Arabidopsis thaliana: one gene and its partners. The protein of the gene in region 1 interacts with the protein of each later gene in a biochemical or structural test. Each region holds a gene or a part of one and is shown in the gene's direction. Other genes may lie near its edges. The genes, in order: DRB5, DCL3 and HYL1.

What was found.
Region 2: the proteins of DRB5 (region 1) and DCL3 interact in far-western blotting, tested with the Arabidopsis thaliana proteins (one study listed by BioGRID).
Region 3: the proteins of DRB5 (region 1) and HYL1 interact in far-western blotting, tested with the Arabidopsis thaliana proteins (one study listed by BioGRID).

Annotation. Positions count from the first base shown.
Region 1 is NC_003076.8:16,433,526-16,442,812, forward strand, and holds DRB5 (dsRNA-binding protein 5), read left to right. Parts: upstream 1-4,739; 5' UTR 4,740-4,921; intron 4,922-5,013; 5' UTR 5,014-5,021; coding exon 5,022-5,267; intron 5,268-5,361; coding exon 5,362-5,581; intron 5,582-5,675; coding exon 5,676-6,391; 3' UTR 6,392-6,530; downstream 6,531-9,287. Other genes in the region: AT5G41050 (Pollen Ole e 1 allergen and extensin family protein), read right to left, coding at 1-299, 380-551; AT5G41060 (DHHC-type zinc finger family protein), read left to right, coding at 2,077-2,160, 2,618-2,800, 2,878-3,168, 3,256-3,489, 3,575-4,015; AT5G41071 (uncharacterized protein), read left to right, coding at 6,544-6,726; GDPD2 (PLC-like phosphodiesterases superfamily protein), read left to right, coding at 8,333-8,402, 8,486-8,670, 8,893-8,952, 9,042-9,287. UniProt on the Arabidopsis thaliana protein: Binds double-stranded RNA. May be involved in RNA-mediated silencing.
Region 2 is NC_003074.8:15,749,666-15,762,541, forward strand, and holds DCL3 (dicer-like 3), read left to right. Parts: upstream 1-3,882; coding exon 3,883-4,016; intron 4,017-4,103; coding exon 4,104-4,278; intron 4,279-4,411; coding exon 4,412-4,525; intron 4,526-4,921; coding exon 4,922-5,056; intron 5,057-5,152; coding exon 5,153-5,226; exon of another isoform or gene 5,227-5,337; coding exon 5,338-5,401; intron 5,402-5,476; coding exon 5,477-5,608; intron 5,609-5,704; coding exon 5,705-5,857; intron 5,858-5,987; coding exon 5,988-6,117; intron 6,118-6,202; coding exon 6,203-6,308; intron 6,309-6,387; coding exon 6,388-6,580; intron 6,581-6,668; coding exon 6,669-6,829; intron 6,830-6,911; coding exon 6,912-7,237; intron 7,238-7,436; coding exon 7,437-7,708; intron 7,709-7,793; coding exon 7,794-8,314; intron 8,315-8,394; coding exon 8,395-8,489; intron 8,490-8,596; coding exon 8,597-8,826; intron 8,827-8,914; coding exon 8,915-9,124; intron 9,125-9,206; coding exon 9,207-9,674; intron 9,675-9,764; coding exon 9,765-10,037; and 9 more. Other genes in the region: AT3G43910 (MutS2), read left to right, coding at 1,722-1,883, 2,335-2,440, 2,526-2,572, 2,665-2,784, 2,872-3,024; AT3G43930 (BRCT domain-containing DNA repair protein), read right to left, coding at 11,283-11,492, 11,576-11,729, 11,826-12,031, 12,114-12,203, 12,268-12,375, 12,460-12,591, 12,671-12,876. UniProt on the Arabidopsis thaliana protein: Ribonuclease (RNase) III involved in RNA-mediated post-transcriptional gene silencing (PTGS).
Region 3 is NC_003070.9:3,135,428-3,145,685, reverse strand, and holds HYL1 (dsRNA-binding domain-like superfamily protein), read left to right. Parts: upstream 1-5,332; 5' UTR 5,333-5,567; coding exon 5,568-5,592; intron 5,593-6,088; coding exon 6,089-6,351; intron 6,352-6,754; coding exon 6,755-7,726; 3' UTR 7,727-8,037; downstream 8,038-10,258. Other genes in the region: NET2B (Kinase interacting (KIP1-like) family protein), read left to right, coding at 1-1,248; AT1G09710 (Homeodomain-like superfamily protein), read right to left, coding at 1,454-2,415, 2,492-2,756, 3,288-3,656, 3,855-3,941, 4,203-4,392, 4,488-4,567; AT1G09690 (Translation protein SH3-like family protein), read left to right, coding at 8,256-8,492, 9,022-9,279; AT1G09680 (Pentatricopeptide repeat (PPR) superfamily protein), read left to right, coding at 9,756-10,258. UniProt on the Arabidopsis thaliana protein: Double-stranded RNA-binding protein involved in RNA-mediated post-transcriptional gene silencing (PTGS).

The DNA of each region.
Region 1 (9,287 bases):
AGCAGTAAACCCATAGACACAGAGATTAGATATCTTGGACTTAAACACAACCTGCTCCGTTGTAGTTCTGAAGCCAGGAACGTTGCAGGAATCTTTGGACCTACCGATCAAGCTTGCTTGACAGGAAGCCATTAGAGAATCTTTCTTTGCTTCAGCGGCGCAAGCAACGCCTTCCAGAGACGTTATGTCTAGCTTGTAGAGTCCAAGCTCATTTGTGGTTCGATTTGCAGAGAACGTAATCATCTCTCTAGTTCTCGATGAAGCTGAATTGAATCTGCAGATTATTCTCACTTCCACACCTGTATTTTTTTGTTCAGTTAAAACAAAAGTGAGAGACATTTTAACTATAATTTCAAACAATGTTGATAAGATTCTTTACCGGGAATGAAATAGCTGTGATTGGAGAAACTGTTGTTGGAGCAGACGTCGCAGTAAACAAGACCCATTACAGTGATCTTTCCATTTGGTTTGGCTGAAGAATGTTTCAGAGACAGAGAGTTTAAGGACAGAAGTTGCAGAAGTAACAGAAGCATTATCAGTTTCTGCTTCATGTTCACAAGTTTCAGTTTTTTTCTTTATCCTTGGATAAACACTTGTTTACAGATGAGGTTTCCTTTTTGTTTATGTGGTTGATGAAAGAAACAGACAAAGAATGGGCCAAGTGGTTAAAGACAAAAGAACAAACAAAGATCAAACAGTAACTCCATTCAAACAAAGCTTCAAGCTTGTCTTTTTTATAAAACTCAAGACTCTTGTGGAAAAAGAGATGAGTAAAGAGAGGCACAAAGAGATGAGAGGCCAATTAAAGGAAAAGTAGAGAAACTGAGAGATTGGTTGGTTAGGTTTAACATTTATTGAGCTCTCATGCTCTCTATTTTAAGGGTTTTTGTCTATGAATCCCCTTATAAAAAATGGCTAAAACTGGAAAATGGAAGGGAGAAGGTAAGCCACTAGTGTGTATATATATGTGTATGGACCACTGAAAGTGAAGTGTAAACATCATCAATTCATCAGCATAAACACCAAGAAAGTAGTCAGAGGATATGGCTCTTTAAATATCAATACAAGAAGCCAAACTATGATATTTTCCCGGTTTACTCTCGGTTGTGGCTGAATTCTGGAAAGAGAATTTCAGGTTAACTAACTATACAAAGATAAGCTCACATTATAGACTTTTGTTCGTCACATTATAGAACAGCATAAGACTTTATTGCATAACAATTTCAGGTTTAAGTGTACTAGAGAAGATAAGCTTACATTACAAGTTCATCAGTTGGAAACAATATATGGGCTTGAGCTTTAAAGAAGGCCCATTAAGCTTGAAATTGTTCTTCATGTAAGATTGCTGCAGATTTTACTTTAATTTTTTTTTTCTTTTTTTCTTTTGCCCTTAAATTCTTGTAATGCTTCTAGGTGACTCCATCCACTTTATGTGTTGTTTCCCAATCATTTCTATTTTCAACTTTATTTTTTCCTTTCACAAATTATTTTAAGTTTTAACATTATTTTCTTCAACATACGAAATTTATACAGTAGTTTTTTTTTGCAGGTACATATAAATCAATAGTTGAGAAAAAGTGGAAAACAATAGAGATAAAAAAAATTAGATGTAAATTCGCTGTAAAACAAAATGTTTAAATTTCTTTTCCGTTATCGAATCTCTTTTATGAATAACAAGGTCGAGTACTCAAGGTAAGGAAACAGACCATTAGAAAAGTGCCACGTCAGCTTATTTCGTTCTTCACTTTTAGCTTCTGAAAAGTACTTTACCTGAACTAAAACGACGGTGACAGACTGACTCCAGTAGCTGCTAACAGTCGATTTTTAAAATATTATATTTATTTGCAGGAAAAAAAAAAAGTGAAGGAAGAAGAAGAAGTTGGAGAAGCCAAGAGCAAATCTAATTCTCTGACTACTCTCATTTTCATGTCGGAGACTTGCCGAAATCTAAAGAATTTCTTCAACGGAGACTGAAAAGCTTTCTCTTTTCTTCTTTCGTTATCTTCGTTTTAGTGTTTTCCCCTTTGCTTACATTTGAAGAAATCGAGAGCAAGCGATAGAAAGTGAGAGAGAGAGATGTATGTGGTGACGCCTCCTCAAAGATCCGGTTTTGGATCCGATTGTGATTTACGGGTTTACCAAACATGGAAAGGAAGCAATGTGAGTTTTAATGTGAAAGCTTTAGGTTTTGGAATTACTTGCTTCTGTGTTTATACTTGAGCTAGTTTTCTGTTATTTTTCCTATTATTGTGTATAAATTAATTATTAATCCGTTCATGGGCTCAGTTTACTCTGTTTCCAATCTTGTAAAGCTTAAAAATTGGGACTTGGGTTTGTGTTAGAAGTGTAGCTTTCTGGGTAGTTGTCTACATTTAATCATGAAATCTTTACCTTTAATCAATACCTTAGGACATTATCTGAATATGCTTGCTACATTTATAGGAATGCTTCTTCATACAAAGGTTATATAGTTGATGCTGTCTGTATATTGCTTTCAATGTCGAATTTAAATCTGGTTTAGTAGTAACCTAGTGGAATTAAACATTTTGAGGTTTGTTCCTTAAATCCTTCTACCCAAAGTGTTAACATATTTTCTAAATTTGTCCCATTTCTGCAGATATTTTGTCTTCAAGGAAGGTTTATCTTCGGGCCGGATGTAAGATCACTTGGTCTGACCATAAGTCTTATTGTGGCACCTGTTACAATTTTCTGCATCTTCGTCGCTAGCAAACTAATGGATGACTTCTCTGATAGTTGGGGAGTCTCAATAATCCTTGTTGCTGTTGTCTTCACCATTTATGTGAGTACAAAAGTTTAGCTTTGCATTGTAAAACGTTTTGTGACTGGATCATTCATAACAATTAATGCTTCCCTCAGGATTTGATTTTGCTGATGCTTACATCCGGAAGAGATCCAGGGATTATCCCAAGAAATTCTCATCCTCCAGAACCAGAAGTTGTTGATGGCAACACGGGCTCGGGAACAAGCCAAACTCCAAGATTGCCTCGTGTTAAAGAAGTGGAAGTTAATGGAAAAGTATTCAAGGTCAAGTACTGTGATACTTGCATGCTCTATAGACCGCCTCGCTGCTCACATTGTTCGATTTGCAACAACTGTGTAGAAAGGTTTGACCATCACTGTCCTTGGGTTGGTCAATGTATTGCTCAAGTAAGTTTCTCGGTTTTTCGTTTTCCTGTCCGTTAGTTTCTGACATCAGTCTATATAATTCATCTCATTCTCCTTGGGAATTTGCAGAGAAACTATCGATTCTTCTTCATGTTTGTCTTCTCCACGACTCTTCTCTGTGTATATGTGTTCGCCTTTTGTTGTGTCTACATAAAGAAGATCAAAGAGTCCGAAGATATAAGTATCTTGAAAGCAATGCTCAAAACTCCAGCTTCCATTGCTCTGATACTCTACACATTCATATCTACATTCTTCGTTGGAGGCTTAACATGTTTCCATCTCTATCTCATCAGCACAAATCAGGTACCCTAATCATTTGCCTCTTTCTGAAAAAACCTCTCTCATTCGATATGCGTGTTTAATCGTTTGATCTTTCTTTATTCTGTAGACTACATATGAGAATTTCAGATACAGTTATGATCGGCATAGCAACCCACATAACAAAGGAGTGGTTGATAACTTCAAAGAAATCTTTTTTTCTCCAATACCTCCTTCAAAGAACAACTTCAGGGCTATGGTACCAAGGGAAAATCCAATGCCGTCGAGATCAGTTGTTGGCGGTTTTATGAGTCCAAACATGGGAAAGGCCAATGATGATATTGAAATGGGGAGGAAGGGTGTTTGGGCAATGGCTGAACATGGTGATGGCAAAGATGGCAATAACAATGAACGGTTTCATGTTAACGACAATGAGTTAAACGAGTTATCACCAGACATGGGGAACATAGTGAATGGTGATGAGCAAATCAATAGGCCAAACAATCACCCGAGGAACGCAAACTGGGAAATGTCACCAGAAGTTATGGCCTTATCAGCAAGAAGAGCTTAGAAGCAGGTTAAGAGAAAATTGAAAGGTGTTTTAAATGTTTGATGTATTGATGTGTTGTGTGTTTACACGGGAATCAATTGTGAATTGGTGTGATATTTTCAGATGTTATGAGTATTTTTAGTTGTTCTTCAGACATTTAAATCGTAAATCATTGTGTGTTAGTGTAATCTATGACTTATCTTTCACAGAATGAGAAAACAAAATGAATACCGACGATTTTCATACTGTACTTTGCATATGATAAAAATTGCAGAAACTGAATTTTCAGACAAGTGGACCAGAAGACCAGACAACTCTTATTATAGTCTTCATTGAAGCACGGCTCTGTAATAAATGCAAAAGAGCTCTAAAGGCTTCTTATTTGTTCTTCAAAGCTCTAAAGTCTAAAGGTTAGAGATTTAACATCACAAGCCAACATTTTTGGTTTAGGAAATTGAAGATTAGCAATAATATAAAGTTTTTTTGGCATTGAACAAAGACAAAACACAATGAACATAATCAACAAATTGGTCAAACTAAACATTAATAAGTGCCTCAAAGTATCAGACTAAATCATTTTCACTAACATTTATGAAAAAATAACTGTTATTAACTGAGGACGAAGGTAACTGACCAGTCAAACATCATAGACAAAGACAATAAAGAGAGTCAATAGCATTGTTCATAATTGTTATTTGTATGCACATGTTATAAATTATATAAAAAGACTAACCTTATTTCAATTGAGATGTCACTATTACTGTTTTAGCATCCTCTTCTACTCTTTATTTAGAACCTTTAGTACCTTACCATGTGAGTGAAGAGTTCAAAAACCTCTGCAAAAACTTTCTTTTTTATCTCTCTCTCTTCTTTAAACTTACTTTCAAACACTAAATAGCCAAAACTTAAGATACCAAATTTCAACAGGTCGGCTTTTTCGTTTGTCTTCTCTTAAGACTTTACCAAAAGAGATTTGTGGTTTCTGGAGTTGACTTTGGTTGATTTTGGTGTATTTACAGGGGAAAAAATGTATAAGAATCAGCTTCAAGAGCTTGCACAGAGAAGTTGTTTCAACTTACCATCATATACTTGCATAAGAGAAGGACCAGATCATGCTCCAAGATTCAAAGCTTCTGTTAACTTCAATGGTGAGATATTTGAGAGTCCCACTTACTGTTCTACTCTCAGACAAGCTGAGCATGCAGCTGCTGAAGTTTCCCTTAATGTCCTTTCGTCTAGAGTCCCTTCAAAGTCTCTAACTGCTAAGATTCTTGTAAGTTCTCTGTCTTTTCTTCTTGGTTTTGATCATACACAAAAAAATGCAAAAAGAGTAACATCGTATATCTTCATGTCACTCTTTATACAAGGATGAGACAGGGATTTACAAGAACCTGCTTCAAGAGACAGCACATAGAGCTGGTCTTGATCTACCAATGTACACAAGTGTGAGATCAGGATCTTGTCACTTCCCAGGTTTCTCTTGTACTGTTGAACTTGCTGGGATGACGTTTACAGGAGAATCAGCAAAGACAAAGAAACAAGCTGAGAAAAACGCAGCCATTGCAGCTTGGTCCTCTTTGAAGAAAAGTATATATAACTATCTTCCAAATTGTTCCATCAACCCCAAAAAAGCTTCTCACTTTTCTACTTGAAACCATTTTTCTGTTTCTCTACTGTGCAGTGTCAAGCTTGGATTCACAAGATGAAGAGAAGGAACAAGAAGCAGTAGCAAGAGTACTCTCAAGATTTAAACCCAAAGAAGTAAGAAGACGAGAGACAACAAACCAATGGAGAAGAAGAACAAGTCAACAAGATTCAAACAAGGATTTGTTGATTGAGAGATTGAGATGGATCAATCTTTTGACCAATCAAGCTTCTTCATCATCATCAACATCAACACCGAATCAACACAAAAACTCCAGTTTCATCTCTCTAATTCCCCCACCACCACCACCTAAATCCTCCAAAATTTTGCCATTTATCCAGCAATACAAAGACAGATCATCACAAGAAGCTAAGACAGAGACAGCGACAGAGATGATCAACAGCAAAGCCAAAGTCAATGAAACATCAACCAGATTGAGTAAGCAAATGCCCTTTTCCGACATGAACAGATACAACTTTGTCGGAGGGTGTAGCGTAAACCCTTATAGTCTGGCTCCAGCGGTTCAAATGAGATCAGTGATTCCAGTTTTCGCAGCTCCACCACCGAAACCAAACCCCAACCTTAACCCATCATCATTATCATCATCAGTCAATGAATTCACCTCATCCAATAATTCCTGCTCTGTTCTGAATACGCCGGGATTGGGAGGCCAAGAGAAGAAGAATCTAACTCGCGAAATGATCAAACTTGGTTCAGAATCGAGAATTTTGGATCAAACCCATGATAGTTAGCTAAATTTGGTTAATGGGTTAATCTCAAATTAAATCCTTGTCAAGTGTTTGTCACATAGATAAATTATAGACCAGTATGTTTCCGTTTCTTGAATGTGTTCTTGTTTTTTTTGAAGTGTTTGAATTTTCTAAAAGTCCGACATGAACTTTGAATGCTTGCGAATTGCACAGAGAACGAAAACAAAGAGAGAGCATTAATTAGGGAAGAAGATGAAGAAGAGAAATGGGAGTTTGCAAGAAAACAATTAATGGGTTTTGTTTTGTCTTCCTCCATTAATGCGCCGAATGCTCTGCTCTGCTTCCCACTCTTCATCATTAATGGTTTTGCTCTGTAACGTCGGTTCCAACAAATAAACTTAATAATTCGAAATTATAAATTTCACAAGTTACATTTTTCTTTGTGTAAAGATTTTGGACCATATAAACATTATGGTTTGCGAGAATGACGTTTGTGTCATTATCCGATTTAGATCCGTATAATCTATGTTGTTAGGAACTCAGGATTTTGCTCAAATATTCAAATTGGTATATTTTGACTTTGATGAAATTATTTTGGTCAGACCACGAGACTTGATTGCTTCTCAATTATTTGGGCCGGTCCATTAATTTGGGGCCATCTAACTTTTACGTGGGCCGTAACAAACCGAAACATAAAACTAGTGACCTACCTAACCATATTACCCCAACCGGACAGGAGGTAACGAGTTAACCAGCCACTTGTTCGGCTTGGAAATTTTTTTAATCGTCTGACAATTTATGACGTGGATCCAAGTAGCAAGAAAGCTAACATGTTGTTGGATCTGATCTGATCCACGAACCTACCATAAATCAATTTTCTCATTATCTTGACAGGTATATCTTGCATTATTATACGTCAGATTTTCGTGGATACAATATTTTTAAAATGCAATCCATATTTACTTGATTTCCAAAAATGGGTTTTTTCAAAAGCACAATTTCCAAAAATGGATCACAATTTATTAACGGATTCTCAACTTGCAAATCAAGCTTAAATTATAATCTTTTTTAACTCAGAATTTAATATAATCTTTTTTTACTCAGAATTGATTAAACTAACAGTTATATTGATCTTGAAATCACCTTTAATATCTTGTTTTAAATCTTGTGTCTTGCAAATCACGGTTCATAAATATTGGAGAATCGAATAAATAAATTATTTCTATTCCTATATTGCGTAATTTTATTTTTTGACTCTCTATTGCGTAATTACACTCGTCAGATTTCGTGGATGAGTACTCAGTAAATCTTATTTTAATTAAAAAGCTTACTAGTCTAATTGCTGCAAATTTGACCAACTATACAGTTGTGTTGCATTACAATATTTCAAACCATTAATAAAACGTGTAAAACATATTTGGAGTTGAATGAAACTACATTTTCCTTTATGTCAAACGCACTTTTCAAGATATATCTCGAACAATTTACGTATTATTTTCACAAATTTTGTTCCACAATAATTTAGGTTATTTTGGTTTTTGTTGTTGTTTTTTGAGTCTGAAATTTCAAATTTGTATTTTTTTTTAATATATATTTAGGCAGGAATCTTTAAAATGAAACCAATAATATATTCACTAAGTTTGGAAAAAAACCAAAATTTCATAATTAACGGGACAATGACTAAGCTGTGGAAAAGATAACATAATCTCCCAATGACTCAATGCCACGTATAAGATGAGAACCGTACTCTTCTGTGTTCGTACCAGATCCCTCAAAAGGCGGGAAGAAACCATCAAGAAAGGCACATTGCTGACGTGGAATGGAATATTCGAACACGCATATCCAGCTCCTTCCTCCTTTTTCCTCATATCCCTTTTTTCTCAATATAAATACTCTGCAAAAAAACACCCACAAATCCTCACACAAAAACGTTTTCGAAATCCCTAATCTACTCTCTCTTCTCTATATCTCTACTCTTGAGAAATGGCTCTTAGAACTGTGCTCGTCTCCGACGTCCCTAGCCTCCCGGATTCTGTCTACGGTTTATCCGAAGGTATTTCTCTCTCTGTCTCTCTCTCTCTGTTTCGTCGGCTATTGAGCTGTTTTCGTTTCTGATGATCTTGTCTTTGATTACAGGTTTAGAGTTGAGCAAACCGACGTCGTTTAGGTTACCGGGGTTTTCGGTGATTGGACATAGAGGAATCGGTATGAATGTGTTGCAATCGTCTGATCGGAGAGCGAGAGGTGTTAAAGAAAACTCGATTCTTTCATTCAATTCCGCCGCTAAGTATCCGATTGATTTCATTGAGTTCGATGTTCAGGTTGGTACTCCGATCTATGTAATCAACTTTAGGATTTGAATGAGACAGAGGATTGGGGTTTTATGTTTATGTTTTTGTGTGTGGAAGAAGATTCTGATTTAGATATCTATTTATAGATTCTTAGAAATTGAAATGAAAAATAAGAACATGAAGATTTGAAGAAAGAGAGAGAGATGGCACATAGAGAAGCATTCCAAGCTTTGTGTGGTTTTTCTTTTGTAGGTGACAAAAGATGATTGCCCTGTCATTTTCCATGATGATTTCATCTACTCTGAAGAAAATGTAAGTCTACATTGCTTTCTTCATAGATCTTGGTTTTATATTTCTGGATCTTGTCTTCATGGATCTGGTGTTTGTGTGTTATGGTTCAGGGTATTGTTAATGAGAGTAGAGTGACGGATCTGAGTCTGTCTGAGTTTCTCCTTTATGGACCTCAGAAGGAAACTGAGAAAATAGGGAAGACACTGATGAGGAAATCTAAAGAAGGGAAGGTTTTGAAATGGGACGTTGATTTGGATGATTCTCTTTGTACGTTGCAAGAAGCTTTTGAACAAGTTGAACAAACTCTTGGGTTCAATATCGAGTTGAAATTTGATGATCAGACCGTCTATGAACGA
Region 2 (12,876 bases), on another chromosome or scaffold:
TATAAAATTTTTAAATTTTCAAATCTGAATAATTAATACCAATTAGATATATTGAGAGATTTTTGGCAACTATTATTGAATAGAATATTTCGTATTTAATTAGCAAAATAAAATATTTAATGCCACTGGCATGCCATTGTAAATAAGTGTCAAGTACATGATTTATTTGCTAAAATGGTTGCAAAAATGTAGGTGTAGATTCCAACCGGCCGGATCGCGTGTTATCCGAATTTGACTGGATATAGATCCGACCCATATATCCAGAATCCGTGTGTCAGAATGTGTTAAATTGCCCATTTTACCCCTTGACGAAATCTCTTAGTTTGCCTTAGTTTGAGAACATTTTATGTAATATTTTACCCTTTATATAGTTATTTATTTTTGAGTAATTTCCAATTAATATTATAGATCAAACTGTTTCTAACTATTAAGTTAGTGCGTTTTGTTATCTATTCCTAACCTTAAGTTAAATAAGACATGCTTTGTACACTGTTTTCTTGGTGAATAGAGAGGAAAATTCACTTTAGCATTTTGATATATATGGATTTAGTTTTGTGTGTTAAATCTATGAAGGTATATGATACTCCTGTGGAGGTGTGGAAAACTTTGTTATCTTTTCTGTCGATTCTATTCTAAATTTGGATAATCTCTAGCTAATGTACATTAATTGCAACAAGTTCTAGTGTCTATAATAAACTCTTTCATCACTCCCTCTCTAAGTAAAAATTAGATTATGAATCTTAGGTTTGGTTAAAAGGCCAACCAATTCTTGTATATAGGGACTCTAACCATGTGTCTGATCTATGTGATTGATTTTTCTCCACTAAAAATCATTTTCTAATCAAACATATGATTCATGGTGGTAGTAGATTCTTCACTAGCTAGCGTAGCTTCTTCTTATGTGTTGAATTTTGTCTCCCAACTGAGTTGGTCATTCTCCGTTTTTTTATATTTATCTAATTATTTTTAAGTTGGATTGTTAATGAAATTTTATTTTATGTTGATAATGTCGTTCAGCTGAGTCATGTTGGAAAGGTAAAACGTAATATCTCTCTGGGATGTACAATTATGTACTTGTTTAGTTAAATAAATATTTAAACTTTTTTGGATTTATTTTTGCATTAAACAAAACAAAAAAAAAAAACCTAAAACGTAATAGACGACTAATTTGAACATTAAATAGTGACTCGTTTCGTTGCTTCAGATAATATTTGGTAGATCACACCAGATTGCAGAGCATATTCTCTCATATCCCAAATTTTCTTACTTCCAATAGTCGATTTCGTCGTATCTAAAACGATTTAGCTGCGCAAATTTATGTTGAATAAACAAAGCAGTGGAAGAGGAAAAAGAAGTTAGTTCTAATTAATCTTTCGTTTAAGTAAATATATAGATCTTTGGGAGACGTAAGTTTTTATTGTTTATCTCTTATATAACCTACACTTTTAGGCTCCAATGAATCTATGACTTATTGTACAAGAAAGTTATGGACATGGGTTGGTTACATGATTACATAATGGTTTGTTTAGTTCTACGTTTGTGGTCCATTGTTACAAACTTTGTATGAACGTACGTGAGTAGGTTAATTAGTTTTGTACTTACGTTCCTTACTTCCCTGATTCTTGTAGGTATAACTAAGGGCAACGACTTTCTCCTCTAAGCTCAAATCTTTCCGTTCTCGATATTTCTCCTTACATGAGAAGGACAAAGATAAGGCTTTAATGAAGCAAAAATCGTTGAATCCTCTCTCTTCTTCTTCACCAAACTACGACGAGATGATTCAAGAGAATTTTAAGCCACATTGGATCATTGGGATTGACCCTAACTTATCCGGAGCTTTGGCTGTGCTGAAATTCGACGACAAGGGATCTTGTTTTGCTCAGGTGAATCGCTACTAATTAATTTTCGAAAAGAATATTGTTTTTCTTCTGAAACCCTAGAACTGTGAAACTACAAGATTCTAGGGTTTGTGAAGTAAATTAAGATATTCCATTGGGTAATCTCAGGACATGCACTTGGTTAGTCATAAATTATATATACAAGGTTCGATATTTCATTGGGTAATCTCAGGCAGATGGACTTGGTTTATCATAATTTATATATACAAGGTTCGATTGTTATCTATAGGAATTATATGAATGAAATTAATATTGGATGATAGAAGATTTACAACTAATTAACCTGTTTGTAACTATTGAGTTAGTGAGTTTTGTTATCTATCCCTTAAGTTAAATAAGACATGCTTTGTAAACTGTTCTCTTGGTGAATACAGTGGAAAATTCACTTTAGTCATTTTGATATGGATTAAGTTTTGTGTGTTAAATCTGTGTGAAGGTATATGATACTCCTCAGTTGGAAGTTGTAGTTCAAAACATCCGAACACGTAGTTTCAACGAAAAATCAATGCTAGAACTGATTCGTAGTCTAGATGTTCCATCCGGTAAGAACGATATTTCACTGTGTTTTTGTTGTGGCGTGTTCTTTGCGTTATGTTTAAAATCAATTTGGTCTCTTCACTGTTGTAGGAACCAAGGCATTTGTAGCGAAATATATTCATCCTGAAAACGCTATTGTAAAAATTACTCATCTCTTTTTTTTTTTACTTCAGTACGTTTATGATATGGATTCGATACACTGAAACATGATTGTGTCTTTATATCTTAGACTGCCTACAATGATGGACTTGGATGTGGATTATGGACACTTCTCACATCTAGCATTTCTGTTATTTACGTTACTCCTTCTACATGGGACAAACATTTTAATCTTAGTATTTGGAGTTTGGTGATGAATCTTAACTCTCAAACTTTTATGATTTCATGTCTATCCTCACATCAATTGCAATAAAAATATTTGCTTTTCTCTTCGTAGGATGGTGGCAGGAAACTCGCACTGGAAATGTTTCCATCACTTAAATTGACAACGAAAATTGACGACAATGCTCGAGCTAATGCACTACTCATTGCTGCATATGGTCATGCTACAAGTGATACAAGATATTACTCATTTTCTCAAATTAAGTGACATATCTAACATGTAAAAATGAGTAATGTTTTGGTGATTTCACTTATATATTGCATCTCTTTCTCTGCTCCTTTGGCTTTCAGAAAATTCTTCACTAATTAGAAAAAAATATTTTGTTTATTCTTTTTCCGTATTCAAAATCTCTCAAAATTTGGTCATTTTTCGATTTCTATATTTATCTAATTTTCAAGGTGAGAGTTGTTAATGTAGTTTGGTTATGATTTAACCCGACCGAAATCCTCATGACCTAACAAATTATAAATAATCTCTGACAAAACAAGGTAAATTGTCTCGGGTTGAAAGAGACATTAGAATTAGATGATATTAACATAAGTCAGCCCCTCTTCTACATTTTTAGCTTTCTTTTAGTCGAAAATCATTCCAAACTCGGAACATACATTGTGGTGTTTATTTGGGAAGAAGTCCACGCTAAAGTATTTTAGTACATTTCTACCAGATTACCCGGATAAATAAAAAAAGCGAAGTTACTTACAACATGAAACAGCTTGCACATTGAAGAAAAGTAATCAATCAGCAGTATATCCAATGAATCTATGCATCTTGTCAGGTCCATTGGGCCTTAGAGGCCTAAATATTTGAAGAAAGAGTAAAATCAAAAATAAAGTATCGAAAAAAGGTAACCCAAAAATTAATATAGTTTGACTAATTTTGTTGCAGTTTTTTTTTCTAGTTAAAAATTCAACATTCGAAACTCATGTTCTGACCTCATTTATACACTTGCCCAGTGGTCAGTGCAGAAAAAGAGAAAAAGAATCACCTTTTTGTTTTAATCTCAAAGTCGAAATTCGAAATTCCTCTACTCTTCCCGTTAAGTGTGTTCCTTTTTATCCGTTCGTCATGCATTCGTCGTTGGAGCCGGAGAAAATGGAGGAAGGTGGGGGAAGCAATTCGCTTAAGAGAAAATTCTCTGAAATCGATGGAGATCAAAATCTTGATTCTGTCTCTTCTCCTATGATGACTGACTCTAATGGGTATCATCATCTTCCTCTCTTTGTACTTGATTTTGGGTCTTATGGGTTTTTAGTCTTTTTCACTAAAGTTTACTTTTTTTTTGGCAGTAGTTATGAATTGAAAGTGTACGAGGTTGCTAAGAACAGGAACATAATTGCTGTTTTGGGGACAGGGATTGATAAGTCAGAGATCACTAAGAGGCTTATCAAAGCTATGGGTTCTTCTGATACAGACAAAAGATTGATAATTTTCTTGGCCCCAACTGTGAATCTTGTTAAACAGGCAAGTCTCTTGTTTGATTGTAAAAAGAAAAACTGTTTCATTTGGATTTTAATCATTTTGAGTTGATGATGTTGGCTAATGAGTCGCCTTGGGAGCTTATTTTTGAATGTTTTATTGGTGTGTGTGGTTTTAGCAATGCTGTGAGATCAGAGCACTTGTGAATTTGAAAGTTGAAGAGTACTTTGGAGCTAAAGGAGTTGATAAATGGACATCTCAGCGCTGGGATGAGGAATTTAGCAAGCACGATGTAAGTTTCTGTTTCTTTTTGTGTATATTTGGCTAGTTATACGCCAACAAAGTGACTTGCTTGTAGTTTTGGTGATTTTATATCAAAATTTCTTTGTGTGGTTAGTGAAACTTTGGCAGAATGTTGTAATCCACTTTGACCAGCTCATTGTTGTATTTTGAGTCATGAATGTTCTCTGAGTTAGTTAAAAGCCCATTCCAATTTGTTACTTTTGGGGTTGGTTCTTCTTCCAATGCTGATTATTTCTTAATTATTTTGTTTGAACTTGTTTGCTTGAGCCCTTGACGTAGATTTGTGACTGCATTGATCTCACTAACAGAATCACATACTTCTCTTTTGTTGCCGAATCCACGTGAGTCTATTATCTGCAATGAAATTATGTTTTGTATGGTTCAGGTTTTAGTTATGACTCCTCAAATATTATTGGATGTCCTTAGAAGTGCATTCCTGAAACTAGAGATGGTATGTCTTCTAATAATAGATGAATGCCACCATACCACTGGCAATCATCCCTATGCGAAGTTAATGAAGGTGTGTTTTCTCAGTAATGATAAGCTCTATTAGTTTTTTCATAATAGAGTTTCCATAACTTGTCAACGAACTAGATTCTTTCTTGTTTTCATGAAGGAATTCTATCACGAATCCACTAGCAAACCGAAGATATTTGGATTGACTGCGTCAGCCGTCATTAGAAAAGGCATGCTATTTAAAAGTTTCTTATTTCCTCTGTATGCCAAACCAAAGATCCTGCTTCCTGTAACTACTTTTTAATGTTTGAACTTCATGTAAGGAACATAAACTCATACTACAAGTGTTTCCTCTCCCTCTAACTATGCAGCTCAAGTATCAGAACTTGAGAGACTCATGGACTCAAAGGTACTTTGTTTTTGTGTAACAAGGAAACAGATATAGTTTACAAATTAATGCTATGCAATCTTACTTTGAATTCAGATTTTTAATCCTGAAGAGCGTGAAGGAGTGGAAAAGTTTGCTACAACGGTTAAAGAAGGTCCAATATTGTATAACCCATCACCATCCTGTAGTTTGGAATTGAAAGAAAAGTTAGAAACTTCACACCTCAAGGTATATAATATATGCTCACTGAATATGATCCAGAACATGACTCTTTCCTATTATGTTTCAGAGTGCTTGAAAAATATTCTGTTTTTTTTCGTACAGTTTGATGCTTCTCTTAGAAGGCTTCAAGAGTTGGGAAAAGACAGTTTTCTGAATATGGATAATAAGTTTGAGACATATCAAAAGAGATTGTCTATCGACTACAGAGAGATTTTGCATTGCCTTGATAATCTTGGCCTGATTTGCGCACACTTGGTATTTTTCTACCAGTTTAGTTTTTATTACCAGTTCTTCATTTGCTTACTCATTGTTACTTTTTTCTCCCGCTAGCATACCTGTTGTGCTGATTATTTTTCTTTTTTTTTTCATCTTGCTTTCGCGATAGGCGGCTGAAGTCTGCTTGGAGAAAATCTCAGATACGAAAGAGGAAAGTGAAACTTATAAAGAATGCTCAATGGTGTGCAAGGAATTTCTTGAGGATATTTTATCCACCATTGGGGTGTATTTGCCGCAAGGTAATGTATTCAAAGCTCTATATTGCATTGAGTCCTCTTCTAGTCACTAATTTTTACACTGTTTATCATTTGTGTTATTTAACAGATGATAAGAGTCTGGTAGATTTGCAGCAAAACCATCTGTCAGCAGTAATTTCTGGGCATGTATCTCCAAAGCTAAAAGAACTCTTCCATCTATTGGATTCCTTTAGGTAAATTTAAATTGTTTATCCAACTCCCAAAATTGCACCAAGATCTCCATCTGTTCTGACAATTTCAATTTGCTTGCAGAGGTGACAAGCAAAAGCAGTGCCTTATTTTAGTTGAGAGAATTATAACTGCGAAAGTGATCGAAAGATTCGTTAAGAAAGAAGCCTCTTTGGCTTACCTTAATGTCTTGTATTTAACCGAAAACAACCCCTCCACCAATGTATCGGCACAGAAAATGCAAATTGAAATCCCTGATTTATTTCAACATGGCAAGGTTACCTGTTCTTCATCACAGTCAGATGTTTTATAGATTGAGAAATGTTTTTATTTTGTCTTCTCTGAAAGCTTTTTAATGCATGTAGGTGAATCTTTTATTCATCACAGATGTGGTTGAAGAGGGATTTCAGGTTCCAGATTGCTCATGCATGGTTTGTTTTGACCTGCCCAAAACAATGTGTAGTTACTCGCAGTCTCAAAAACATGCCAAACAGAGTAATTCTAAGTCTATCATGTTTCTTGAAAGGTAGGAAGCAATATTTATTTAACACAAAATGTTTACCAAATTCCAGTTTTTGTAGCTTATTTCTGAATACTAATTATTGTAGAGGGAACCCGAAGCAAAGAGACCATCTGCATGACCTTATGCGAAGAGAAGTCCTAATTCAAGATCCAGAAGCTCCAAACTTGAAATCGTGTCCACCTCCAGTGAAAAATGGACACGGTGTGAAGGAGATTGGATCCATGGTTATCCCAGATTCTAACATAACTGTATCTGAGGAAGCAGCTTCCACACAAACTATGAGTGATCCTCCTAGCAGAAATGAGCAGTTACCACCGTGTAAAAAGTTACGCTTGGATAACAATCTCTTACAATCCAACGGCAAAGAGAAGGTTGCCTCTTCTAAAAGTAAATCATCTTCATCGGCTGCAGGTATGTTTTCTAATTTATTAATTCGTCAATTAGCTGGTGTCGCTGATTTTAGTCTTTAGTTCCTCTATCAGCCGCTGTTGTATCACACACATACACGCACACATCAGCAGTTGCATATCATATGTCTATGTCTAAGGTCATGGAGCTTGTCTTAATTTGTTTATTTATGTATACATTTCTTTTTCTTTTCGCTGAACAGGTTCAAAAAAACGTAAGGAGTTGCACGGAACAACCTGTGCAAACGCATTGTCAGGAACCTGGGGAGAAAATATTGATGGCGCCACCTTTCAGGCTTATAAGTTTGACTTCTGTTGTAATATTTCTGGCGAAGTATACTCGAGTTTCTCTCTTTTGCTTGAGTCAACTCTCGCCGAGGATGTTGGTAAAGTTGAGATGGACCTTTACTTGGTCAGGAAGCTTGTCAAGGCTTCTGTCTCACCTTGTGGCCAGATACGTTTGAGTCAAGAGGAGGTACATAACTCTGATCCCTAGTTATAAACAGTTTCTTGTTTCATGGTTTGAACTTGATGTCTTCTTCTTTGTGTTTTGGATGCAGCTGGTCAAAGCAAAATATTTTCAGCAGTTTTTCTTTAATGGCATGTTTGGAAAGTTGTTTGTTGGATCTAAGTCACAGGGAACAAAGAGAGAATTTTTGCTTCAAACTGACACTAGTTCTCTTTGGCACCCTGCCTTTATGTTTCTACTGCTACCAGTTGAAACAAATGATCTAGCTTCGAGTGCGACAATTGATTGGTCAGCTATCAACTCCTGTGCCTCAATAGTTGAGTTCTTGAAGAAAAATTCTCTTCTTGATCTTCGGGATAGTGATGGGAATCAGTGCAATACCTCATCCGGTCAGGAAGTCTTACTAGACGATAAAATGGAAGAAACGAATCTGATTCATTTTGCCAATGCTTCGTCTGATAAAAATAGTCTCGAAGAACTTGTGGTCATTGCAATTCATACTGGACGGATATACTCTATAGTTGAAGCCGTAAGCGATTCTTCTGCTATGAGCCCCTTTGAGGTGGATGCCTCATCAGGCTATGCTACTTATGCAGAATATTTTAACAAAAAGTAAGTGATATTCTAGCTTTGGCTGTTCTTTCAATCTACTTATCATAACTCTCTAGTTAATGTTATTCCCTTTTAATCAGGTATGGGATTGTTTTAGCGCACCCGAACCAGCCGTTGATGAAGTTGAAGCAGAGTCACCATGCGCACAACCTTTTAGTCGACTTCAATGAAGAGAGTAAGTTGATTCTTGAGAATTTCTCCAACATATGGAATCATTGTGTATGTTCTCATGATATTGTAGTGTGTGAGCTCTAAGATGTTGTTTCCAATGTAAATGGACAGTGGTTGTGAAGACAGAACCAAAAGCTGGCAATGTTAGGAAAAGAAAACCGAATATCCATGCGCATTTGCCTCCAGAGCTTTTGGCTAGAATTGATGTACCGCGTGCTGTGCTAAAATCAATCTACTTGCTGCCTTCAGTGATGCACCGCCTAGAGTCTCTAATGTTGGCCAGCCAGCTTAGGGAAGAGATTGATTGTAGCATAGATAACTTCAGTATATCAAGTACATCGGTATGGTTTTTGAAAACTATCTGTCATTTAGAGATGAAACTAGATATCTTGATTGTCATTAAACTCTTGTCTTGGTTCAATAAATCAGATTCTTGAAGCAGTTACAACACTTACATGCCCCGAATCATTTTCAATGGAGCGGTTGGAACTGCTCGGGGATTCAGTCTTGAAGTATGTTGCGAGCTGTCATCTATTCCTTAAGTATCCTGACAAAGATGAGGGGCAACTATCACGGCAGAGACAATCGATTATATCTAACTCAAATCTTCACCGCTTGACAACCAGTCGCAAACTACAGGTATCTTCTAACATTTGCAAGTAATGTCTTACATCAGTCAGAACACCAAAGAAATATCTTTCCATGGGGATTGGTTTGATAGGGATACATAAGAAATGGCGCTTTTGAACCGCGTCGCTGGACTGCACCTGGTCAATTTTCTCTTTTTCCTGTTCCTTGCAAGTGTGGGATTGATACTAGAGAAGTACCATTGGACCCAAAATTCTTCACAGAAAACATGACTATCAAAATAGGCAAGTCTTGCGACATGGGTCATAGATGGGTAGTTTCAAAATCTGTATCAGATTGCGCTGAGGCCCTGATTGGTGCCTATTATGTAAGCGGTGGATTGTCTGCTTCTCTCCATATGATGAAATGGCTCGGTATTGACGTCGATTTTGACCCAAACCTAGTCGTTGAAGCCATCAATAGAGTTTCTCTACGGTGTTACATTCCTAAAGAAGATGAGCTCATAGAGTTGGAGAGAAAGATCCAACATGAATTCTCTGCAAAGTTTCTTTTAAAAGAGGCTATCACACACTCCTCTCTTCGTGAATCCTATTCATACGAGGTATGACTTCATCATTTTCAACCCCTGCATTATTTGGCTGACTTATTCCCAGGTTTCCAACCTCATGCTATCATTTTTTTCCTCAAACAGAGATTAGAGTTTCTTGGCGATTCTGTACTGGATTTTCTAATAACCCGTCATCTTTTTAACACCTACGAACAAACTGGGCCTGGAGAGATGACCGATCTTCGTTCTGCATGTGTAAACAATGAAAATTTTGCGCAAGTTGCAGTGAAAAATAACCTGCATACCCACCTTCAACGCTGTGCTACGGTTCTCGAGACTCAAATAAACGACTATCTGATGTCCTTTCAAAAGCCAGATGAGACTGGTAGATCAATCCCTTCAATACAGGGCCCTAAGGTAAAAAATATACTTGCATGACCATTTAAAGTCCCTGCCTGAGATTTCAGATTATAAAGAGAGCAAATAGGTTGACATACTTGTCTATTTTGGTTTAGGCTCTTGGAGATGTTGTGGAGAGTATCGCTGGAGCATTGCTGATCGATACGAGGTTAGATCTCGATCAAGTGTGGAGAGTCTTTGAGCCGTTGCTTTCTCCACTTGTAACTCCAGATAAACTTCAGCTTCCTCCATACCGGGAGCTCAATGAGCTATGCGACTCTCTTGGGTATTTCTTTCGAGTGAAATGTTCAAATGATGGTGTCAAAGCACAAGCCACGATCCAGTTGCAGCTGGATGATGTTCTTTTAACTGGAGATGGATCTGAACAGACAAATAAACTGGCCTTGGGAAAAGCAGCTTCACATCTGCTTACACAACTTGAGGTATATATATTCTGATGTTTCCACTTGCGTGTGTGTTGGTGTGTGTGCTCAAACTTTCTTTGGTTCTTCAGAAGAGAAACATTTCACGTAAAACCTCGCTCGGGGATAATCAAAGTTCCATGGATGTCAATCTTGCTTGCAATCATAGCGACAGAGAAACTCTGACTTCAGAGACTACTGAAATCCAGAGTATAGTGATTCCATGTAAGCACTGTTATTTACCTAGAGAGATTCTTCTTTTCTTCTTCAGTTTTTTTTTTTTTTTGTATCAAGGGTTATGCATTTCATGGTTTTATGTGTTTCAGTTATTGGACCTATAAACATGAAGAAAGGCGGGCCTCGTGGAACTCTACATGAGTTTTGCAAGAAGCATCTGTGGCCAATGCCTACTTTCGATACCTCGGAAGAGAAATCCAGGTGACTTCTCATTTTGGTTCCTTTTTTCTCTGCTCTCATGTATCCCGAGTCCTGACCAATCTGAGACTGATAACTGCACAGAACTCCGTTTGAATTCATAGATGGCGGTGAGAAGCGGACTAGCTTCAGCAGTTTCACATCGACCATAACCCTAAGGATACCCAATCGTGAGGCTGTGATGTATGCTGGAGAAGCAAGGCCTGACAAGAAGAGTTCCTTCGACTCTGCAGTCGTGGAATTGCTTTATGAGCTCGAGCGCCGCAAGATCGTCATAATACAAAAGTAGACTAATTTAGACTGTACTATATATGATTCACATTTAGTCATCTCGAGCAGATCTTGGAAATGCGAGAACTCCCAAATAATAGTTTTGTATCTGAATCTCTAATTTATATGTTAATTGTTATGCCTTAATGATAAGCTCATAGACATTACTACAGTTGAAGCTACTAACACGTTTTAGCATCTCGAAACCTTTCTCGGATCCGAGAAACTGAATACGTTTGAATACAGTCTTCCCGCCTTTCATCACCGAGTCCGCTGCTCGGAGCTTTTCACTGTGCCTCGAGTTGGTGTGAATAGCTGCTTTGAGTTCTTCCTCGGACATGTTTTCCTGCGACAGTACATACAACACACAAAACTACTTTGAAAATGGTTTCGTCAACGAGATACTGGCACATATGAGGACATTGCTACCTGATAGAATGCATAGATGTTTTGGAGAATCTGCTGACATGTAAAGCCGGTTTCACTGAAATACGACCTGGAAGAAGGTCCCATTTCACCATACCAATCGATTGGAAGTAGTAATGTTATAAAATGGTTTTTGTATACCAACTCCATTCTCTCACTGTCATGCCATAACAACAATAAACAACATGAGCTTTATAAACTTAAAAGAGTAGCTTGGATCTCAAGTTACATAGATGAAGTAGAACATAGGAACCTTTCTGTGAGCAGTCTCATGGAGTGAGTGAATGAATCATTAGATTTAGCATCAAAGAAGGCAGATAAAGATTTTCTTTCGATATCGTCGTTGTTGCTGAAACTATCTATGATAACACTAGCTGTTGAAGTTGGTTCAGATATTGTCCAAGAGATAGAATCTAGAAGGCTGCTCAGATTTAACGGCTGGATCAGAGTCTTCCCCATCTGTTTTATGAACAAAGAAAATATAGTTCGGTTTAGCGATTGCTCGGTTTTCGAAGATGAAATAGAGAAAAAGATGAAATGCCTTTGCGTGGCGATTTGTGACAGTCTTTTTGGCGGATTCCACAATCTTCTGCCTTTCTTTGTGTGGTCTCGTCCTATCTGTAGGAGATTCCTGTAGGAGCACAAGATTAAAGGACTAGAGACTTCATGAATACTTATCTACAGACAAAAGATACCTTCCCAAGATTCTCAATCATTGTCCTAAGATCTCGTGCCAAATCATCTGACATTTGAACTAGATTTTGCGTTGGTTTCTCTTCCAACGTCTTCTGAAGCCATAGTGGCTGAAACAGGCGACAATTTTACATAAAGCAACCAAAGGATAATGTACCGCAAACAAGATGGAAAATGAGTTCTCATTAGCTTACTGTAACAAGATTGCTAGAGTGACCAAGATATCTTAAAACAGAACCACCTTCACATACAACATGACTAGCATTACATCCAATGAACCATTGAGTCATAAGCTTGGCACCTCCTTCAACAGCCACCTGTGAAACCTACAAGAATTGGAATGTAGCCGTTGATCCACGGGCGTTGCTACATACGTTTAAAACTCATAAGGTGTTTAGGACTAACCTGGCGTCTCACTTCCTCTGAAATATCAGCATCGATAAAAACCGAATAGCCTGACAAGGCCAAGTCCTTGCTTCCTGTGACCTCTATTCCTTGAACTCCTCCTCCTCTATGTAGTTTTTCTACCGCGTAAACCGACTTTAATCCATCTTCATTCACCTTAGTCTCTTCGGGATTTTTGACCGCGTAGAAAGACTCACTCAGCTTAA
Region 3 (10,258 bases), on another chromosome or scaffold:
ACAGAAAGCACTTGCTTTGGTACAGAGGCGGAAGATGAGGAGAGGAGAAACTGGAGGCAGTTGTTACCCGCAGATGGCATGGAGGATAGAGAGAAGGTTCTATTGGATGAATACTCATCAGTACTAAGAGACTATAGAGAAGTGAAGAGAAAGTTGAGTGAAGTTGAGAAGAAGAACCGTGATGGCTTCTTTGAGCTGGCATTGCAGTTGCGAGAGCTCAAGAATGCTGTTTCTTGCGAAGACGTGGATTTTCATTTCTTACACCAGAAACCAGAATTGCCCGGCCAGGGTTTTCCTCATCCAGTAGAAAGAAACCGGGCTGAAAGTGTGAGCATCTCTCATAGCTCTAACTCTTCATTCTCCATGCCACCACTTCCTCAAAGAGGAGACTTGAAGAGAGCATCTGAACAAGAAAAGGAAGACGGGTTTAAGGTGAAATTTGCAGGCATTAGTGACAGCCTAAGAAAGAAAATTCCAACTGTGGAAGAAAAAGTGCGTGGAGATATTGATGCGGTGCTGGAAGAGAATATTGAATTCTGGTTAAGATTTAGCACATCTGTTCATCAGATACAGAAGTACCACACATCAGTTCAAGACCTGAAAGCAGAGCTATCGAAAATTGAAAGCAAGCAACAAGGTAATGCTGGGAGCAGTAGTAACACTGCACTTGCATCAGAGGCAAAGCCTATATATAGACACCTTAGAGAGATTCGGACAGAGCTGCAGTTATGGCTAGAGAACAGTGCAATTCTGAGAGACGAACTTGAGGGTAGGTATGCAACACTTTGCAATATCAAAGATGAAGTTTCAAGGGTCACGTCTCAATCGGGTGCAACTGAAGTAAGCAATACAGAGATAAGAGGTTACCAGGCTGCAAAGTTCCATGGTGAGATACTTAACATGAAACAGGAGAACAAAAGGGTGTTCAACGAACTTCAAGCAGGCCTTGATCGTGCAAGAGCACTGAGAGCTGAAGTGGAAAGAGTTGTATGCAAACTAGAAGAGAATCTTGGGATTTTGGATGGGACGGCTACAAGATCTCTGAGCAAGAGAATGCCATCATCAGCTGGAAAGCCTAGGATTCCACTAAGGTCATTCTTGTTTGGTGTCAAGTTAAAGAAGTATAAACAACAACCGAAGCAAACCTCAACAATCTTCTCTTGTGTCAGTCCATCTCCAGCTCTGAACAAACAGTGTAGTTACATTATCCCACCTGCAAAGCTCCCTGAATATGTCAAAAGAAGCTGAAGAAGTGATCTCCCTTAACTTTAATAGTCCTGAGATTCAAATCTAACTATATGCTGTAGAGTTTGAAGATTGTAAGTATATGAGATTCTTATTAATTAGTACCAATGTACTGAATGGCTTCCTTTACATCATATCTTTCTTTCAGTCTAATAAAAACTACAAATGAAAGCTCCAAAACAGAGTATCCAACGATTTTGTCAAAGAACTAAACACCCTGTCCGGTCCCTGCCACAGTTGCAACCTCAAGGGGTTTTCCGCAAACACTACTCACTTTGATCACCGGACCAACCTTACTGTTTACTTCACCTTTGGCTTTAGATTGCGAACCAGCTCCTCTGATAGGTACTACAGTTTGATCAGATGGTTTATCCATCAACTTTTGGTTAGTGGCACAATGAACTGCAGTCCGAACTACTGGAACTTTCCTAGGCAAGAGATTAGGGGACTGAGCCTGTGTAGCCTGCTTTCCCTGGCTAATCTCCAAGTTTCTTGAGGTTATTTGATGTGGCTGGATTGCAGCCGATGAGCTTGCTTCATTTCCACGAGCTTGCCCTTTCTGTCCACCATCTGGTTTGCAAGTGACAATCTCAGTAGCTGGGACAGAGCCTGCAAAAACTCTCTGATTGGAGACAATCCTTGATAGAGAAGCCAAGGGGGCGGAAGCAGAAAGCATTGAAGATCCTTCTGAACGAGGAGCTATGAGAGGAGGTTTGTTGGAAGATGATGAAGCCATAACAGGTTTCAATTTTCCATTAGCTAGAGACCGTATAGAGGCGGCAACACTCGTTCCTGGTTCAACCTTTGGCATGGAGAGGCTACCTGAGGGCTGAGGCATGCAGACTGTAGAAGCATGTTTTACAGGTTTAGTCTTTGGCACTCGTGGAGCATCAGTTTTTCCAGGTTCGACCTTTCGTCCTGATGCAGCAGTCAATACATCACCCATGCATGCAGCTGCAGCTACTGAATTAGCTGTTACCATAAGATCCGATCTGGAAGTGGAGCTTGCTGTTGTTTTTTTAACAACTCGAGACTTTGCAGCCGGAAGTGATGTTCCTGCCCGAGGCAATGCTTGAACAATTGGTTTGGACTGTTGTTGACCTTGAGAAGAACTTCCCCCATTCGCTTCCGTTTCTGTGATGGTACAAGATGACGTCGTTGGCATAAGACCTGCATAAAATGCAGTCTAATTGATGAACCAAATAAACAAAGAAAATTACCCAAATATTATAACCACAAACCCCACCGCAGTTAAACAGGTAAGCTAATTTCTGATTTAGACAAGCCAGTGGTAACCAAACCAAAGCATCCTCTGTTATAACATAAATACTAGAATTAGCAGGGAAGGATCTTCTGCTACTTGTACCTATTGCAAGCTTATTTGAAGGGGGCCGATTTCCCAGAGCTAAAGATAATGCATGGTTAACTGCTAGTTTCGCTTCAGTTCCTTGTAGGCCACATTGGCTAACAGAGGTCGAAGTGTGACACCTTTTTCTTATAAGCGCCCACCTCTACAAAGAAAATAGTCAGTTGTTACCACCAATAACGGAAAAAGAGTAAGCAATTGCAAAATGTCCCATGCTCGTCCAAGTAGCTAAAGTATTGTTAAGTTTTATCAGATGGAAAGTATATGCGTAAAAAATACAAAGATGGATACAAATATCATAAAACTTAGTCTTATTAGTCTTATTAGCTACCTTCTATGATTGCCAAAAGACTATTACTCATATCATCCAAAGAATCTGTTGCCGGGATTCGAACCCGGAAAAATGGGGAAAAACCCCACGTCCATACCAGACTAGATGACAACAGATATATTTCTAGAGTAATTACCAAAGTGGTACTTCGTCTGTAAAGAGCCACCACCTCCAACAACACGAAAGAGGGAAGGTAATATCCACCATTCATCGTCAACAGAATATAGATAATGATGCATAAACAGGTTGTAATACAAAGAACAAGACTATAAGATACACTACAAAATGACTTCAAAGAAACTAATGAAAAAAGAGCAGTCAATATTGAATAAGAGAAATCACAACCTGCGAGAGTTGGGAGGCGGTTCTCTCTCCTCTAAAGTCTCCCTTAACAATATGAGCCCAGTTCCCTTCACCACATCGCTTTACAGCGGCGAACAGCTCCTCATCCTCCTCAGCAGACCATCTTTTCCTTTTCCTCCGAAAAGCCATGCTAATACCAGCTGAACCATTTCCATTCATCCCCTCGGTAGATGTAACTTTCTGAAGACAGACCGGAAAGTTGATATTCATCCCTCTTGACGACCAAGGAGACTCTGATGGTTCCTGAGAACCCTCAGGCAAAGCATAAGGTATGTTTATAGTCAAGGGAGCCTCAACTGTTGAATCGTCGAGTATATCAGACTCACTTAGAACATATGAAGCAGCCATCACCTGGGAATACAAGAGAAACGAAAACTTAATGATATTTGGATAAAATGGGAACTCTGGATAAGCACAGATTGATATGCAGAACAAGTAACCAACACACTAATCATTAAGAAAACAGCAAGGTGTTATCCTGAATAGAGCCTAGGGACTTCAGATTCTGAAATTCTGTCAAGGGAATGAAATCTATGATTCCGTTCTTACTTTGACATGTGCAATAGCCTCCACTGATGCTTCATGGCTGACTGCAGGAGAAGCTTCCAATTCGCACTCCATGTCACTATCGTCGTCCTGCACAGGCAACTTTCGTTTAAAAAATCTGTAAACTACACCAGCGAGAGACACTCATCGATCCCTAATGCTACCAAGAAGTTTTAGTATCCACTGCCACATAGAACATAAACTAGTATTTCATCACACTCACTTCTAGATGATACTGATAACACAAAGTAGTAGTGAGTTTTTATTGAAGAAAACTAACTAACTCTACAACATAAACTTGAGTCTTTTACAATTCATCAAAAGTGGAAAGAGGAGAGACAGAATAAGTACCAGAGGTAGAGCATCATCTTCCACAGGGAGGAGAGGATGCCGATAAGAAAGATGACGCCATAGCAACTGGTACTCTCTAGCATTAGTAATTCCGGTAGTGGTCTTCTTCACCAACGCATTCCAGTCCATCTTGGTTTCGGAACAATAAGATATCTCCTGTAGCATTCTCAGTATCGTCTCCATATCATATCTGCGTCAATAAATCAAAAACCCCGGCCACACTGACTAAACCCAAATCCACTAACGTTTTCGGAAAGAGAAAACAAAAAAAGGAGATATTTTTACCTCAGCAAAAGAGTGGCGATGTCGCCTTCAGTAATGATTCTCTTCCTGCGATTGCTACTAGTATTATTATTAGCAACCATCTTCGTCGTATTTATTGCAACAATTCTGCAGAGAACAGGACAAAGGAATCAAATTTCACCAAAACCCGAGGGAGTTATAGACGAAACGAAACGACAGAGACTTACGCACGAGGGAATGCCCAAGAAAACCGGTGAAGACGATCGGAGAAGAAGATGGTCACGACTGTCGAAGAGCGTGGAGAGTACTCGCGTGGCAGAGGTGTTTCGGAAGAGAGAAGAAAAAAAAGGAACGAAAAGGAAGGTGGTAAATTCGACTATTATTATTCTACGCTTATCAGAAGCGAAAAGTATGGGCTCAAATATTTTTCTTTTCTGGTAAAGGGATATAGGATCAAGTGGGCTCAAATATGGGCTCAAATATTTTTCTTTTCTGTTAAGGGACATAGGCTCAAGTGGGCTCAAATATGGGCTCAAATTGTTTTTATTTTTTATTAAACGGTTATTATCATTATTGATGTTTACTTGGAGAACAAATTAATTATTTGTGAATACAAAAACTGTGTGAATATAACAAAGGGATTACTAGTGAATAAAGTTAGCCATAAAAAGGTTAATCAATTGTGGATATATACATTAGTTAACTACATATGAAATACGAAATTAGGCTATATGTAATTAGTTTTTTAATTAAATTAAATATTTCAAAGATAAAAACATTTTGCTTTCATATAATATTCACAAGTAAATTATATTTATGGAAAATTTGACCAAAAAGGTAAATTTATGGAATATAATATAATTTATAAAGGTTTGAAATTAAATTCAATATTAACATTTGTAACATAACAATTAAGAACCACCTTCTTTCGTTTGCCCTTGTGAAAAAAAAACAAAAATAAAAATCAGTAAAGAGGAGGAAGTCGAGGGGAGAGGGTTTTTGGTGAAGAAGAATCATCTCTCTCTCTCTGCTTCTTCGCAGCAGCAGCACGTTTCTTTCTTGCTCTTCGCCGTGCCCTACTAACCTATTATTCGTCTCTTCAGCTACATTCTGCTCGTGAAAATGACCTCCACTGATGTTTCCTCTGGTGAATTACTTCTTCTTCTTCTTCTTCTTCTTCACCATCATGTCTGCATTATCTCTAATTCAACATTCATGGGTTGTTTTTTCCGGGTTTTAATTTTGAAACCAGATCATGCTTTTTCCCCTTTCTTCTGTTCTTTACTCACTTCTTTCTTCTTGGAAATTGGATTGCAGTGTTTTGATTAGTTAGAATTTACAAGTGTATCTGTCCCTTGTGGGTTTAAGCGTAGATCTCTCTGGCAATTGGCAAGTTTACTCTTTTGAGATGATGATTTATTGACTCAATTTGTTAGGGAACATAGAAGCTTGGTTTAAAACTGTCTCTCCCCTTTTGGATAAGTATAGTTTCTTTGTGAAAGTCGTCAGCTTTATTCAGAACTCGTTCACTGCTGTTCCCTGTTGTCGTTTTGAGTTTATTTGCAATTTATGCTGTAGTGGATAGCATCATCACTGTTTCTGTTTTATCTTTTGCCTCATTTTGAAGTTTTTTTCCTGCTCAGGTGTTTCCAATTGCTATGTTTTCAAAAGTCGGTTGCAGGAGTATGCTCAGAAGTACAAGCTCCCAACGCCTGTTTATGAGATCGTTAAAGAAGGCCCTTCACACAAATCTTTATTTCAATCGACTGTGATACTGGATGGTGTCAGATATAATTCTTTGCCTGGATTCTTCAATCGTAAGGCTGCAGAGCAATCAGCTGCCGAGGTTGCTCTCCGGGAATTAGCAAAATCCAGTGAGCTAAGCCAATGTGTTTCACAACCTGTTGTAAGCACCTCATCTTTCTTATTTCGCTCGTGATTATTGTTAAGTTCACTGCAAAACTATTGAACCTAGCCTAGGGGTTTAGCAGCGAATTGTAGCTTTGCCATCTCAGCAGTAGTCCTTATGCTTAGTTTGAGCGTTGAAGGTTTAAAGGGAAGCTCATGGTTAGTTTCAGAGTTGAAGGTTTAAAGGGGAGCTGTGAGAATACGTTAGGGGGCATTCTGTATTTGTCTAGGCTCTTGGTTGGACAATGATCGAGATTCAAGAGTTTAAAGAATCCACTCATTAATAAAGTGTCTTCTGTCTTATCGGATTTATGTGTATTGCCAACTTCTAGAGGGAAGATTCTTAGGCTGTTTCTGTAAGTTATTGCTCTTGTCTAACTTTGAATGGCTTATTAATGCAGCACGAAACGGGATTATGCAAGAACCTACTTCAAGAATACGCTCAAAAGATGAATTACGCGATTCCATTGTATCAGTGCCAGAAGGTCGAAACTCTTGGGAGAGTTACACAATTCACATGTACTGTAGAGATTGGAGGCATAAAGTACACAGGAGCTGCAACAAGAACTAAAAAAGATGCTGAGATTAGCGCTGGGAGAACTGCTCTTTTAGCGATCCAGTCAGACACTAAAAACAACCTTGCCAACTACAACACTCAGCTTACTGTACTTCCTTGTGAGAAGAAGACAATACAGGCAGCTATCCCGCTTAAAGAAACCGTCAAGACTCTTAAAGCCAGGAAGGCTCAGTTCAAGAAGAAAGCTCAGAAAGGAAAACGCACAGTAGCTAAAAATCCTGAAGATATTATCATCCCTCCTCAACCTACTGATCATTGTCAAAACGATCAGTCAGAGAAAATTGAGACAACGCCAAATCTGGAACCTTCTTCATGCATGAACGGGTTAAAGGAGGCAGCATTTGGGAGTGTGGAGACAGAGAAAATTGAGACAACGCCAAATCTGGAACCTCCTTCATGCATGAACGGGTTAAAGGAGGCAGCATTTGGGAGTGTGGAGACAGAGAAAATTGAGACAACGCCAAATCTGGAACCTCCTTCATGCATGAACGGGTTAAAGGAGGCAGCATTTGGGAGTGTGGAGACAGAGAAAATTGAGACAACGCCAAATCTGGAACCTTCTTCATGCATGAACGGGTTAAAGGAGGCAGCATTTGGGAGTGTGGAGACAGAGAAAATTGAGACAACGCCAAATCTGGAACCTCCTTCATGCATGAACGGGTTAAAGGAGGCAGCATTTGGGAGTGTGGAGACAGAGAAAATTGAGACAACGCCAAATCTGGAATCTTCTTCATGCATGAGCGGGTTAAAGGAGGCAGCATTTGGGAGTGTGGAGACAGAAGCAAGCCACGCATAACAGTGTCAAGATGGAGTCTTGTGAGTTTGTCATAGTTACTATATGGTTACGTAGCCATTTTGTGATTCCTATCTAGTCTAGTAGTAATTCACAGATTGAAGAGAAGTAATATTTGAGCGGAAAATCAAAACTAATATGATTGGTACAATTTGGTGGTCGATTGAGTCATTCGAATAAAGTAATGTGGGGTTGCAAAACAGAAGCTTCATATCTACATATAAATGAAAATTACTCTCAAACTTCATTATTTGTGGGCCGGTTATAAAAACACAAACCCAACAGAAGGTCCATTACCCTCACTCTTCATTATTTGTGGGCTGGTTCTAAAAAACAAAAGTCCAATAGAAGGTTCATTACCCTCACTCTTGATTATTTGTGGGCTGGTTCTAAAAAACAGAAGCCCAACTTGCTGACCCAACAGGTCCGTTTACGAAACCCTAATCTCAAAACAGAGATATAAATACACTCTGCCTTCCTCATTTCATTTCTTCGGCGATCTAGGGTTTTAGTTGTCGCACGAGGAGGAAAAATGCCAGCGGGTCATGGAGTTCGGGCGAGAACGAGGGATCTGTTCGCGAGGCCATTCAGGAAGAAGGGTTACATTCCACTCTCGACTTACCTGAGAACCTTCAAGGTCGGCGATTACGTCGATGTGAAGGTGAATGGTGCGATCCACAAGGGTATGCCTCACAAGTTCTACCACGGTCGTACTGGTCGTATCTGGAACGTCACTAAACGCGCCGTCGGTGTTGAAGTCAACAAACAGGTCTGATGAACTCTCCTATCTCTTCAGCTTTTGTGTCATTGAATTAGGATTTGAGCTTCTTAGTGTGCTATTTGGATTGTTGATCTATTGCTTTGATGTAGAAATGTGTGATTGAGTATAGGTTTGTGGAATGTAAATCTTCTTCTATGCTACAATTGAGCTCAGATTTTGAGTTTTAGCTCAAAGATGTTATCTTCTATTATGCAGTAGCGTGGTTCGTGATCCTGTTTCAGATTTGAAAGTTGATTGCTTTGGTCTCGTTTAGTCTTTAGCCTTAGCACGCAGTGTTCATATGTTCCCAGTTATTCAATACTTCAACTCGTGTTCATTAAACTGCTAGTGTGTTTTCTTTCATGACTATTTAATTGTTAAACTTTGGCCTTTTTTACTCATCTTGTTTTTATAAGTCTCTCTATAGATGTTACTGTGTAATATGGATTATGGATTATCCTATGACAATAACACAAATCTTTTTGCTAGTACTACTTATATTGGGTATTATGACTGACACATGTTGGGGGTGTTTCAGATTGGCAACAGGATCATAAGGAAGAGGATTCATGTGCGTGTGGAGCATGTGCAGCAATCAAGATGTGCTGAGGAGTTCAAGCTGAGGAAGAAGAAGAATGATGAGCTCAAGGCTGCAGCCAAAGCCAATGGTGAGACCATCAGCACCAAGAGACAGCCTAAAGGACCCAAACCAGGATTCATGGTCGAAGGAATGACCTTGGAGACTGTCACTCCAATCCCGTACGATGTCGTCAACGATCTCAAGGGAGGCTATTAGTTCTATCTTCCCAGTGTTTTGCAGTTGTTGCTTCCGTATTTGAGTTTCTCTTCATGTGTCTTAGCTACAATTTCTGTAGAATCTCCAGATATTTTATGAAACAGATCTTTTTATCTCGTTTATAACTATCATTTTCATTATCTCTTCTGTTACTTACATTTAACATCTTTATTTAGTGATTAGTCAAATTCTTTGGTGAACAAATTTTCGAGATTATTTAAGGAGACATTTTCCTTCTAATTATAGCATCTTACAATATAACCTAGTCGATGTTGCCAAGTGCCTTTCTGTTACAGTCTTCCTCGATTCAATTCGAAATAATAACGCATTGAACCGGAAAATTAAACGCTAACCAAAACGAACCAGCTTCGCAGAAGTCCGGTTACTCATTAAGAACCCGACTTTTCATTCAAAAGTCACTGCCTACTCACTGGAAATAGCCGGTTCCGGAGAAATTGAGAGTCAGAGTCTCAGAGATGTTCAGAATCGAAATTCTAAGATGCACACTCTCTCAATCTCACCCACAGAGATTCTCTCGTGCATCATTCCTCTTGTCAACATGGTACTCTCAAGAATCTGTCTCCGCGGCAGACAACGACGATGACCCAGTTCTTGTTAAACTCTCAGTTGCCATCAGAGATTCTTACAAGGATCCGCCGTTGGAGTTCTCTTCGTTCACTGACTGCCCCTCTATCAGAAAGGTCCTGCCTTCGCTCAGCGTTCATCATGTGGTTGATCTCATCAACCATAACCCTCTCTCCCTCCCACAACGTTCTATCTTCGCTTTCTTCAAATTCATCTCATCTCAGCCTGGATTTCGTTTTACCGTTGAGACTTACTTCGTCTTGGCTCGTTTTCTTGCTGTTCACGAAATGTTCACCGAAGCACAGTCACTTATCGAGCTCGTCGTCTCTCGTAAAGGCAAAAACTCAGCTTCTTCAGTTTTCATTTCTTTGGTAGAAATGAGAGTAACACCTAT